Regions from separate parts of the Mus musculus genome. Here regions 1, 2 and 4 are each reported to be linked to region 3. Evidence: microRNA targets listed by miRTarBase, many of them from high-throughput screens and not tested one by one. Region 3 holds a microRNA gene; each other region holds the end of a gene's coding sequence.
What was found. The annotated mature microRNA mmu-miR-466k reads UGUGUGUGUACAUGUACAUGUGA and lies in region 3 at 1,227-1,249, opposite strand. An mRNA with a match to its seed (bases 2 to 7 or 8) in the 3' UTR can be bound and repressed. Matches are read on the target gene's strand: a 7mer-m8 pairs with bases 2 to 8, a 7mer-A1 pairs with bases 2 to 7 and ends in A, and an 8mer does both.

Region 1 (3,047 bases), not on the chromosome of region 3:
AGACACCCCGCAACACCCCTGGGAATAGAACTGCCTCCCCTTTTAGGGGTAGGGAGAAGCTTGCAGATGTGGTGAGGTGGCCAATCACGCAAGTTCAAGGTGTCCGAGAGACCCACGGGAAACACCCGGACTCAGCCTACAGCTTGCGACCATACCGTGCCAAGCTCAGCTGAGACTAGATGAACCCTAAGTGTCTGTGGCTGCGTGGGGAAGAATGACATGCACGGCAGCCTACTGATGCCAAGCTGCAACCTCCTTAGAGCCTTCCCCCTCCATCCAATGCAGCTATTCTGGGATGTTGGAGTTGGTGTCCGCCAGTGTCCAACACCTCCTCTTCCCCCTTGTATGCCGAGTGTAAAGGCCGCCCTCAGGTGTGTATGGCCATTACCTCTTCCCTTGCTCTCCCTAGTATGATGGGCCCAGGTCCTCTATCTCTTGTCAGTGACAGGAGCCTCAGGCCCATGGGGACATCAGGATATACAGGCTTATGTTTCTCAAGTGAAGTAATACAGGAAACTGTAGAGATGTATAGGATTTTGTTGTTGTTTGTTTGTTCTGGGAGTCCGTGTGTATGATGAGGCTGAAATGGAGGAGTATCAATGAAATTTTAGCACAGATATATATTGTGCAGAGTGGAAAATTACAAATAAACTATATAATCTCCAAAAGCCTTACTTATGCTAAAATTTATTTTTATTGTATTGTTTGTGTGTGTGTCTGTCTGTGTGTGCGTGAATGCCTTCAGAGGCCAGAAAAGGGCATCAGATTCAAGTTGGAGGACAGGCAGTTGTGAGCCACCCTATGTGGGTACAGGGAACTGAACCTGGGTCCTCTGGAAGAGCAGCGAGGGCCACTGACTTATCCCTCCAGCCCTGAAGTGATACATGTAAACTCTGACATGCTCCAACATAACTATAGATGACCAAATATACAATAAATCAATTTTATTTGATAATAATATTAAAATCGCATTCACTGATTCATATTGATCATACAGTAGAACAATATGCTCACACAGCAGGTTAAAGCACACCGGTATATATGGCTGGACACTGCTCCGGAACCTGGCAGATATACCGTCAGCTAGGACTGGGGGTGACAACATAGTGGCTCCATCTGGTCTCTCAAGTCAGGAGCCCTCTGCAGTTTCCTTGGGCTTCTACAAACCGAGGTCTTTGGTGCAGAACATGATGGTAAGAACTCTGTGGCAACTTGTTATGTTTCCAAGGTTCCTTACTCACTGGTGCCAGGCCAAGGCCTGAGCCAGCCCACCACCTTATCGCTCCAGCCACATCTTGTCCACTTGTCCAGCCCTCCGGTCTGACAGATTTAAACTTCAGGCTCTTGCTGTATTGGGTTCCATGCATGTCTCTACCGTTAGATACTCAGCAATCTGCCCTCTGCTCCTCTGAGATCTTGTCCAGAGAGCTTGTGTCCAGAGCACACAATGTGCACCAGTCCTCCAGCTGAGAGGAAGTGAGCATATGGGAACCGACCTGCTAGGGAAGTGGGGGAGGATCCGTACCTAGGAGGCCCTTCCTGACTGCTGCTTAGCCTGCCTGAGTTCCGCCTCATCCCTAGGTGGGGCAAGGCCAAGCAAGGACTATCCTGAGAGTGTTCAAGAACAAAGGAGGGCATCAGTAGCGGAGGGCAAGATGCTGTCTTTCCAGGGCAGCTGCTGGGAGCCAGGCACTGGGCAAGGTTCAAGGGCACTCCCTTTGAGGACCCACTTCCCGTGCACTTCAGCACTGAGGAAACAGAGGCTCAAAGAAGTGCCTTAACTTCCTCTGGGCATTTAGCTAAAAAGGAACCATGTCTGTCCCATCTCCCCAGCATCTGAGACCCAGCAAGGGGCTTGGGAGAGAAAATGTACCAGGTCCTAGCAAAGGACCAAGTATTAGTGCTGTTTTTCAAGGGATCCAGGGAACTTGAGAGAGAAAGCCTGTGTGTGTGTGTGTGTGTGTGTGTGTGTGTGTGTGTGTGTGTGTGTGTGTCTGTGTGTGTCTGTGTGTGTCTGTGTGTCTGTGTATCTGTGTGTGTGTGTCTGTGTGTGTGTGCATGTGTGCTCATGATGGTAGTGGTAGGGTAGAGAGATGGTATCTGAGACCAGGAAAGAAATGTCTCACCCATCTCTCTCCTATCTGTGCCTTAGAGAGAATGACCTCTAGTTAGGGACCCTGAGTCTTGGACAAACCAAAGATGGACCTCAGCTCAGGGCTTGGAAAGGAGGCCTAAACCACAGACAAGCCTCACACCTTTCTTTGGGGCCACTCGCCCATCCCTCTCCCTCTGCTTAGAGGCATCTGTAAGACTGGACATCCCAGGTCCTTCTTTCTCCAGTGCTTGTTTCTTCATCAGCTCTCAGGGGCTCCAGATACCACTGGCCACATCCCTGGCCCATGGCAGGGCTTACAGAGGGATCCTGATGCAGTGCAGGGCAATTCTGTTCTCCGTAGAGAGCGGCTGCCCCGAAGAGTAGTCCAGGAGAAGCTGTGTACTCTTCCTGCCCAGCCTCGTACCTAGCTGCACTAGGGCAGAGCCCCACTGAATGTCATGATGGGAAGGCAGAGAAGGGAGCACAGGTCGGACCCAGTCTCTGCTGGCTGGCTGAAGGACCTCTCGGGTGGCAAGCTGCTCTTCTCTGGCTTGTAGCAGGGTGACACTTCACACCTATAGAACAGGGTGATGTAAGAAGGTGGCTCTGCAGGCTTCAGAGGACAGAAAAGAAAGACCCCCCTCCCCAGGCCCCCATCCTCACCTGACCACACTCTGCAGGATCTTTCTCTCATCCTGGTCTAGACACACGGCAAAGGGGCAGCTGCTAGAGCCGATGATCTGCACCTTGTCCACTTTGATGTAGGATGTACTGATCTGGAAGGGAAGCCCTAGTTCAGGCCCCAGAGCCCCGGTCATACATCTGCCAGCCCTGGGTGCTTCTTTGCCCATAGGGACTGGGAGAGTTTGAGACAGGACTGCCTGGCAGCTCTTGAGATGGAGTCAGAGGAGGAATCATGAGAACTATGCCAGGCCCTGTCTCCTCCGCAGCC
Region 2 (3,040 bases), not on the chromosome of region 3:
TGATATTTATTATCATTTTTCTTTGTGTAAAGACAATACATGCTTATCATCCTAAAAGAATACAAAAAGTATATACAGAATATAAATTAGCCATATTGCTATCACTAGATAGAACCACATTTAAACACTGGTCTTTACAAAGTCAGATGCTAATGTACAAATGGTCATGTATATTTCAAGTGTAAGTTCCGCAACATTCTCCTACAGTCTCTGACTACATCGTGTTTAGTGGCTGGCAGTGTTCCATTTAGCTGTTGTATAATGTTAACAAACCATTTAACTGTTGCCCATGTTAGTCAGTTTTAGTTACTTTAGAATTTTGTTATTTTTATGAATACTGCAATAATAAACAAACCTGCTTATTGCTTTTCTTCACTGTGATTTTATTGATATAGTAAAAAAATTTCTCTAATTTGGGCAACTTTGGAGGGTGCATAAAGAAAGAACTCAGAGACAAAGATTAATTTAGTTGATACGGTTTCCCTATCGCTATGACGGTTCCCAGATTTCCCAATAACACCAATTTGGGAGATTTCTGCGCAGCATAAGAATCATTAGCTGACATTATTTTACACCAGGCATGATACTTTTTACACACCCATTTTAAACTACATACCATTACAGTGAGGAAAACAAAACCCTTCCCTTAGAAAAGAGAGACCATCATCTTATCAAAAATATTTTATTTACAAAAACAATCAATTATACTATACATCCTATAATGGAAATACATTGAATAATTGCTAAAATAAATACAAGGCAATTAATTCAACTTTTTATAAGAATGAGAAAAAATTTGACATTTGAACGTTATCAAAGCTTAACTTAGAACATAAATAGTTAAAAAGGCAAACTCAAGTTTTAGTTTCATTTATTGTCAGGGTGTGTTTGTTTCCCACTAGCTCTCCATACGGCGAGAGTCGGAGTTTTTCAGAACTTGAACGAACCTCTTTGTACTCACAAGGTAGAGTGTGCAGCTTTCCCTTAGACAGTATCTCGCTACAGTTGTGTGTGGTGTGGTAGTCTGCGCAGTGAGGAAGCAGAACCTTGGTGCTCTTTTTGCTTCGCCACAAGGCTTCTGTGCAGCTATTCCTGTGTTCTGAGTGTCTGTCTCACAGCCCTACACAGCACCAGCCAAGATAAATCATGTGAAAAGTCAAATTAACAACTGAGGCCCTGTTACAACTGAATTAGACACGTTTGGAGGAACTGGTGCGTCACTTTTTTTAATTTACCAGTTCTTAGTAATAGTAATTACAGGTTGACATCATTTCTACTTGTGGAGATTTTTAGGAAGGCCAAGTATGGAAGAGATGGAGAGATTACCTGTATAATTGAGAAAAAAAATACCCTTCCTGAGAAGTAAAGAAGCCACTAGGAACATAAATGTGCCAGGTCTGAATTGTGTTGTGTATCAGTTACAGTTCGCCCATGTAAACATCACTAACAGGCAGGGTGACTTGGCGAACCCAGACACTAACTGGAGGAAACACACTCATTGTGCATGTGAGAAGGTCTGCCACATTTAGGCCACAGAGTAAAACTTTTAATGAATTGCATTCTATTTGTCCCAATCACACAGATAAAGTCTCACCAGCTTTCCATTTTGTCTAGGCCTAGGCAAAGACTGCCACCATCTCTCCAGATGATCTGGCTTGGATGTTCACATTTATCCAGTACAAGGAGCCCAGCATTTTGTTTTGCTTTTTCCAAAGACTAGGATTCCCTTTTGAAAAAAATATATATTTTCAAAAATTGCACTTTTCTACCCTTTCGGCCTCAACTTTAATGATTGGCTCTTGTACACATGTGAGTATGTATTTTTACCTAAAAGTTGACAGGTATCTCGACCCTTTCTAAAAGAAATAAAATGTTAGAGTATTCAAACTTTACATTTCTTTTCACAGAAATAACTATTCAATTATAAAATGTAGAGAAAGAGAGAAACATTTTATTCTTTCATGAACATCAGTCAACCACGTTTCACATTTTGGGCAGGTTAATTTTTTTTTATAGTATGGATTTTTTTAGAACCTATTTTATTATATATATATATATATATATATAAAAGAACAAAAGTGTATTTTGCCAGAGAAGTAAAATATAGACTATGGTGTGAAATTTTGTTTTTAAAAATCCGGATACAAAATTTAAAACACAGTACAATTATTATATCAAAATACAGCATAGCCAGTGGCTTTCCAACTTTCCTTTGGCATTTCATTTGGTAAAGATGAACAATTTTCCTTAAAAACAAAAAATAGAAAGAAAATCATCAGCTATCAAAAGAGTCCATAAGTTAGGATGTGTAGGTTGAAAGAACGTTCCCTTGAGTTTTCAGAATCCTTTTCTTCCATGATCACCCACACAAAGCATGGCAAGTGAGGTATTTAGAACAAACACTGTCAGGCAGATGCACAGTAAGGGAAAAGTGCATAAGCCAAGACATCATCCCACCGTCCTAAAACTGTCAGATTTAATCGGACTTTCTTCTCACTGATGTATCAATTTGCTTTGGCAGAATAAAAAAGAAACCAACCCCCATTGAATGTCTTTGTTCAAGTCCCAGCAGCAGTGATATGTCTCCTGTGGTGGCAGGGTGCGGTGCCACAATACTGTATAGCCCCTTGAGGAGCTAAGGTGTGTGTGTGTGTGTATGTGTGTGTGTGTGTGTGTCTCCAGGTGTGACTACAAACATCATCATACATCAAGCACCATGTCATACTGTTGTCCCTTCTTCCGCCTGCCACACTTATTGATGAGAACCACATAGAGAGTCAAAAGCATGACCCAGTAGCATGCATAGATCAAAGTTCCCACGATGAGAACAGTCTGTTTGGATTCGGAAAATGGCTTTTTAGATTCCTTATAAATGGTGAAAATTACACCACCTAGAAGGATTGTAAACCACACGGACACTGGAATAAGTCCTATGAAATTAACAACAATGGTCTTCCTTCCAGATGTGCCCCACCCAGCTTTGTTTATGGTTGCAATTGCAAACATCTTGGCAGGAAGTAGACTTGACATGTATAACACT
Region 3 (3,047 bases):
TATTAGGATGTCACAGGTAAATTCCTGTGGCTGGTGCCAAGACAAACTGCCTAGAACATTTTATTTGCTGGCTTGCTCTGATTAAAGTGGAGAACGCACTGCACTTTCTCGTTTGTGGTCACCTGCTAAATCTTTACCTTATTTCTGGTGTTGCCTAACACAGCGTCTCATACACAGCAGAAGAGAAAGAGTCACTAAATGAATGAATGAATCTATTTCCTATTTCCTTCGAAATTTGAGCCTCTGCACAGGCTGAGATGTACTGGCGTGCTTTGTGTTGTTGTTGGAGGTGGAATCTGGGGTCTTGTATATGCTGGGCAAGTGTTTCATCATTGAGCTATAACCCAAGAGCTAAAAAACTTGTTCCGGTGGCATTAGGGTAGCAGACAATTTTTGGGGAAATGAAGTTTGTTTCCAGAAGGCCTAGGGCTGTGGAATCCTGGGTATAATGGATGCTTAGAAGAGAAGAGATGACTTCAGGTCTCAAGGACTGAGGACATGTCCCTAGTTTTCAGTGACTGGCTTTTATACCACCAGAAGCTCTGCACACTCTGTACTGACCCTTTTCCTGTGAACTTCCCTGTGTAACATTTGTTCCTCTGTTTTATCAGCTGAATGATGGAACCTCACAGCCAAGAACTTTGAGAGGTCAAAAGGACCTGGCTGCTTCCTGCAGGTGGCAATGGCTTCCTTTCTTCTTCAGCCTTTAGACAGTTTGGATTTCAAATTATTCCATCACTTTCTAGAACATTCCAGATCCAAGCTCTCCTCTCCTATCACAGATGTATTCTGCAGCGCTGGGCCTCTCTACTGCATGTGGTTGTGGGAGAAGAAAGCCGCTGAGGTAGTTGAAGCCATGTTTAGCTTTTAGTTCTGTGAGGCAAGAGGGCCAGGACAGAGCATTTCCCCTTCCCTGTCAAGATATCAGCACCTGCTTGGGAAGCCAGAAGATGGAGGAGTAAAAAAGCTCCTGTTCCTCGGGGGCTTGCAGGTAAGGTCACGGCCAGTGCAGAGGTGCCAGTCTTCTCCTGCCCTATAAGGCTGCTGCTACCTGTGAAAGATCAGTGCAGTTGCTTACCTGTCACCTAGGCCAGATGGAGACACAGCCATCGGAGTCACAATTAGTAACACCTACTCACCATACACACACATGCACATGCACACATATACACATATATTCACATACTCACACACATGCACATGTACAAACATATACACACACATACTCACATGTACATGTACACACACACACACACACACACATATATATGTATATACACACCTGCACACACACACACACACACACACACACACACACACATATCAATAGAGAACATGCATATACACGTACATGCACTCATGCACATGCACACCCATGTGTATATGCACACACATACATACACATATACACATATGCATGCACACACACACATACACTTATTTCTATAGGAGGGTGTACATGAATGTATATCACATGCACACATGTATATGTGTGTGAATATAGGTGAATATACAGCCCCTCCCATCCTGGAAACTAGCACATTCATATAAGACACCATAATACAGCTTTTCAATATTTTCTTTTCTGTAAGAAAGTAGGGAATTGACTGAAGTCCAGGGCTGTTGCAGTTCAGAAGTTCGGCTCTTTATCTAAATGTGGCCCTGAGAGTTAGGCAGCAGATGGAGGTAACATGGCAGCTTCCAGGGCTTGGAGTCAATGACTTCAATGAACAAAAACAGACACTTTCTTTTACTCGCTCCATTGAGAACATGACCACACATTCCTGGCTCACAGGAGACCCCTAAATCTGGAGGCCACTCCACGATGTCTCCTCATCCTTAAAGTAGAAAGTGGGACTGCGGAATCTGTCATGTGCTCCATCTTGGGCCACTGATGGGGTCTGTGTGAGATGAGATCTGATTTGCCTCGGTTATTCTGGGATGCACATTGGCTACTCTGCCCACTTCATCCATTCTGAGCTACTACCAATCTCCATCCTTACAGGCAGCAGCCAATTTGAAACGTACAGTTGTATACTCCCACTTCAGGTTACTTTTGCCAACACATATTACCTTATGTTTATTTGAGTTAAGTTTCGTCTGCCTGCAGGCTGCACAATCCCCCAAAGTGTTCCGATGCACCTGGAATTTCTTGCAAATCTTCTCTGTTTTTATTAGCCACAACAGTTTGGAACTAGTTGAAACCTCTGGGAAGAGATTAGACAACAATTACTGCCCGTTGCTCATGTAATGTCTGGCCAGGTACATGAGCCAGCAGGCCTTGCTTGGCGGGGTGGGGGTGGGTGGGCATGATAGCATTTCTATCCACTGGTCTGTCTTTTGAACTCTCAACTCTGGACAGGTACCAGGGAGCCAGCCTATCCTTGGGGTGTATGTCTACACAGGGGCATAGAGCTGTCTTATTTACAGGTTTTAGAAGCTACTGCTCTGGAGCCAAGGGAATGTGTGTTATCAAGGCCCACTCTGTCTGGTCCCCTTGGATATTACAGAAAGAAGGGACAGAAGAAGAGAGCCGAGGGAGGGGAAGGAAGCTTGCAGCACTGCTCGCTATGCTGGGTTCTGTAAAATCAGGTGATTAGACATGGGAGGAGGAAGGACAGAAGTATCACCCTTCGGACTCCTCTGGAGAGGCTGAGACATCACCATGGTCACATCCTGGAATCTGGGAATGAGGACTGGTTGAGGCTGGAAGCCACTGTCCTCAAGACCAGGTAGGACATCAAGGACCAGTTCCACGAGCCAGGATGGAGGAGGTGAAGCGGGCTGCTGCTTGCGGAAAGCAGCTTCTGTGAGCAAGGCTGGTGTGTGGGCAGCAGCTTAGGCTGAACGGATCCCAGAGCGTTCCAGCGAGCTAATCTTGTCAGCCTCAAGCTGTTCCACAGACAGTGGGTGTGAATCCAAAGCCATCTTAGATGCTCAGCTCTCAAATGTTTCTTTTAAGAAAATAAAAAAAGAGAGATTGAAGGTACACCAGACCCAAATGGGCCAGTTACCTGGGAAGGTTAGACTTGTGAGCTGTGAAGTGC
Region 4 (3,047 bases), not on the chromosome of region 3:
CTGCGTCATTTTTCTGACTTTTAGTAAATTCCACTCATACTGGGACATGTCTTTAATAGCCAGCCCACCCCATTCCGGGAGAGGGGTGTCTTCCGATGATTTAGAGGGAGATGTCACTGGGGTTTTGTTGTTGTTGTTTGTTTGTTTTTGAGACAAGATATCTCTACATATCTCTGGCTGTTCTTGAACTCACTATGTAGACCAGAGGGCCTCAAACTCAAAAGATTCGCCTGCCTTGGCCTCCCACGTGCTCTAGATCTCATGTCTCTCATATGAGGTTTTAGGAGTTCACGGTCTCTTGCGCCCCCTGGTGTTCATTCAGTTCTTCAGGCTTTCTGGCACTACAGCAACATGCTTATGATTGTCTTCAGTGGCCAACTGGTATTTAATTTATGCTGAATTATATGCCTAAGGTTTTTGCTCAGGTGCCAGGCATGTACATTCTGTTTCTTGAGACAGGGTCACTCCATGTATCCCTGGTTGTCCTGGATCTTGATATATAGATCAGGCTGGTCTTGAACCCAGAGATCTACCTGACTCTGCCTCTCAAATGCTGGGATTAAATGTGTAGCATATGCTGGGCTACAAGTCTTAAGGTAAAGTTAAGCCTGGTCACACAATTCAAGAAAAGAAATGGGAGGGAAAAGAAAAAGGAAAAAAGGAGAGGAAAGAGAGAAGGGAAGGAAGAGATGTATACAAGTGCTTTGCAAACTGTAAAACACTCTCCATACGCAAGGGAGTCATTTGAGCAGTCTCCTACAGTTTCCATTTATTATGTTACATTTCCTTATTGTGTGTGTGTCCACATGTGCCACAGTATGCATGAGGTCAGAGGGAAACTTATGGGAATCATCTCTCTCCTTCTAACATGTGGGTCCTAGGAATCAAACTCAGGCCGTCAGGCTTGGCAGCAAGCCCCTTTATCCACTGAACCATCTTGCCATCCCAGTCTTCTATAGTTTAAATCAAATTCCTGAGCACTGGGCAGCAGATTCCATTTGCAGTCATGGCATCAATGGCCTCCGTGATCTTGGACAAGCCACTGTCTCCAGCAGCCTGTTTCCATATCTGTGAAGTGTGGATCCACTTTTACCTCTCAAGGTACCTGCGAGAGTTCACGCATATCAAGTTCCTGGTGTATCCTACTCAGGCTGAGTGGCAGGGTCAAGCCACGGGCCATACCCTTGTTAACTCTGGTACCAGAATAACATTCTGGTAACTGGGCACAACTGAAGAGCACTCCTTACGCAGGGAGGCAGGACCCCAGGTTGACGGAAGAGGTAAGAAAGGAAAGCTGGGTGAACGATAAATTTCCAAGTGAGAAACTGACTGGTGAAGCCAGGCCTAAATGAGGACAGGAAACCTTACTGTCCGAGCCCTAGGGACGAATCTACTGCTATTAATGAAACGTTATCATCCGGTTTTAAGAATTTTTATATCACCCCACCCCCAACCCCCTACTCCCTGTCATTGCCATTTCCCCTAGTCACAAGAGGGTTCAACTAATAGTCTCCAGTTTGAAAGGTTCTGATTGTGATGTGACTTCCAAGAGCAAAGAGGTCAAGGCTGTTATCAAGAGGCCACACATAGCACCCACCTCTAGGCCAGCTTCCTTCAGAGGCCAGCAAAGTATATGCAGAAAGCATCGGATGAGCTGAAGAAGCCAGGTCTACACTGGTCCCACCGCACCCCACTGCTTGACTTTCATCTTCTGCCCTGGAGGGTTTCTGTGGCAACCGAATGAGATAAAGAATGGCGTGTACACCCAGCAGCCTACCGTGTGGATGTTCATTCAGGTGACCATTTCCCTCCCCCTCCTCTTCAAAGGCTCCAGAGGCTCGGCCCCGCTGTCCTTCACATCTCAGAGGAACCACCACCTTCTCAGAATTCAACTCCACGCCTTTGCAGAATGGCTGCCCTGGAATACTCTCCCCGGTGCCCCACATCCCCAAATAAGTACACAGGTTCTTTTCACTGAAGTGTTTTACTGGTGACCACTGAGGAGACAGACACAAGTCGGGGTAAGAAAACCAGGTAACAAGCATGGGAGGGTGAGGGTCCCTGGATTGTGGATCCCTGAGGCTTCCTTCTCAGACTGAAGAGGCCGGTCACCAGGAGGGCCATGCCCCCCCCCCCTCCCCAGCCTGAGGCTCTAGAGGCTGACACAGGATGAGGCACAGCAGGTAGGAACTCACAGGCTACTGCCGTGTGTGTGTGTGTGTGTGTGTGTGTGTGTGTGTGTGTGTGTGTGTGAAGCTAGACAACTTTGGAGGACCTGTAGACAACGACACCGTCTCAGGCACTACCCCCAAAGCCTGGGGACTGATGACTGATGACCCAGTCACAAGAGCATGTCCTGAGCCCATCCCATTTCCCCCACAGCTGAGGAAATGAAGAGTGGGCACTCTGAATTTCCAAGGCAAAAAAAAAAAAAAAAAAAAAAAAAACCTGCTGGGAAGAGGCAGGGTGTTTACTCAGCCCCTTCTCAGGATTTCCTGACTGCAAAGGCAAGAAGGGGCTGTTCCGCAAAGTGAAGGGTTTGTAGTCTTGGAGGCCACAGCAGGTACTAAAGGCCTCCTCCACCCATCAAGGTGGGCTCTATGCTCTCCCTCACTCTCCAAGCAGGCCTCTCCTTTAGCTAAAATCCTTCTCATCTTGCTCGCCCAAGTGTGTTTTCTGGTGTCGGATGAGGTTGGAGCTCCGGGAGAAGTGTTTCCCACACAGGGTGCACCTGTACGGCTTCTCCCCTCTGTGCGTTCTCTGGTGTGCACCAAAGTTGGAGATATCACTGAAAGTCCGCCCGCATTCAGTGCACTCGTAAGGCCTCTCACCCGTGTGGGTACGGTGGTGCACCCCAAAGCTGGAGCTGTTGCTAAAGCTCTTCCCACACTCACAGCAGATGTAAGGGGCTGGCTCCAGGTGGGTCCGGTGATGTACAGCCAGCGTGGAGCTCTGAGTGAAGCTCTTGCCACAAATGTCACAGCGGTAGGGCCGCTGGCCCAGGTGATCTTGCTGGTGCGTGGTGAGGTCCGAGCGCCGCCGGAAGC

Region 1: the mRNA of Pik3r5 is a reported target of mmu-miR-466k. Seed matches in the 3' UTR shown: 8mer at 2,050-2,057, 8mer at 2,048-2,055, 8mer at 2,046-2,053, 7mer-A1 at 2,038-2,044, 8mer at 2,036-2,043, 8mer at 2,034-2,041 and 29 more.
Region 2: miRTarBase lists Has2 as a target of mmu-miR-466k. Seed matches in the 3' UTR shown: 7mer-A1 at 2,670-2,676, 8mer at 2,668-2,675, 8mer at 2,666-2,673, 8mer at 2,664-2,671, 8mer at 2,662-2,669, 8mer at 2,660-2,667 and 8 more.
Region 4: miRTarBase lists Zfp691 as a target of mmu-miR-466k. Seed matches in the 3' UTR shown: 8mer at 2,246-2,253, 8mer at 2,244-2,251, 8mer at 2,242-2,249, 8mer at 2,240-2,247, 8mer at 2,238-2,245, 8mer at 2,236-2,243 and 15 more.

What each region holds. Positions count from the first base shown.
Region 1 is chr11:68,495,732-68,498,778 of GRCm38, reverse strand. Pik3r5 (phosphoinositide-3-kinase regulatory subunit 5) reads right to left here. Exons shown (of 19, transcript NM_177320.2): 18 at 2,759-2,871; 19 at 933-2,670. The coding sequence ends at 2,529. Among named protein-coding and RNA genes, the nearest start is that of Pik3r6, 5.8 kb to the left of the region's middle.
Region 2 is chr15:56,664,959-56,667,998 of GRCm38, forward strand. It overlaps Has2 (hyaluronan synthase 2), which reads right to left. Exons shown (of 4, transcript NM_008216.3): 4 at 669-3,040. The coding sequence ends at 2,701. Among named protein-coding and RNA genes, the nearest start is that of Has2os, 23 kb to the right of the region's middle.
Region 3 is chr3:85,465,598-85,468,644 of GRCm38, reverse strand. It overlaps Mir466k (microRNA 466k), which reads right to left and starts at 1,268; the gene lies at 1,147-1,268. All of the region lies in intron 1 of Gm31419 (a long non-coding RNA gene), which reads left to right.
Region 4 is chr4:119,167,548-119,170,594 of GRCm38, forward strand. It overlaps Zfp691 (zinc finger protein 691), which reads right to left. Exons shown (of 2, transcript NM_001145936.1): 2 at 1,969-3,047. The coding sequence ends at 2,635. Among named protein-coding and RNA genes, the nearest start is that of Zfp691, 5.1 kb to the right of the region's middle.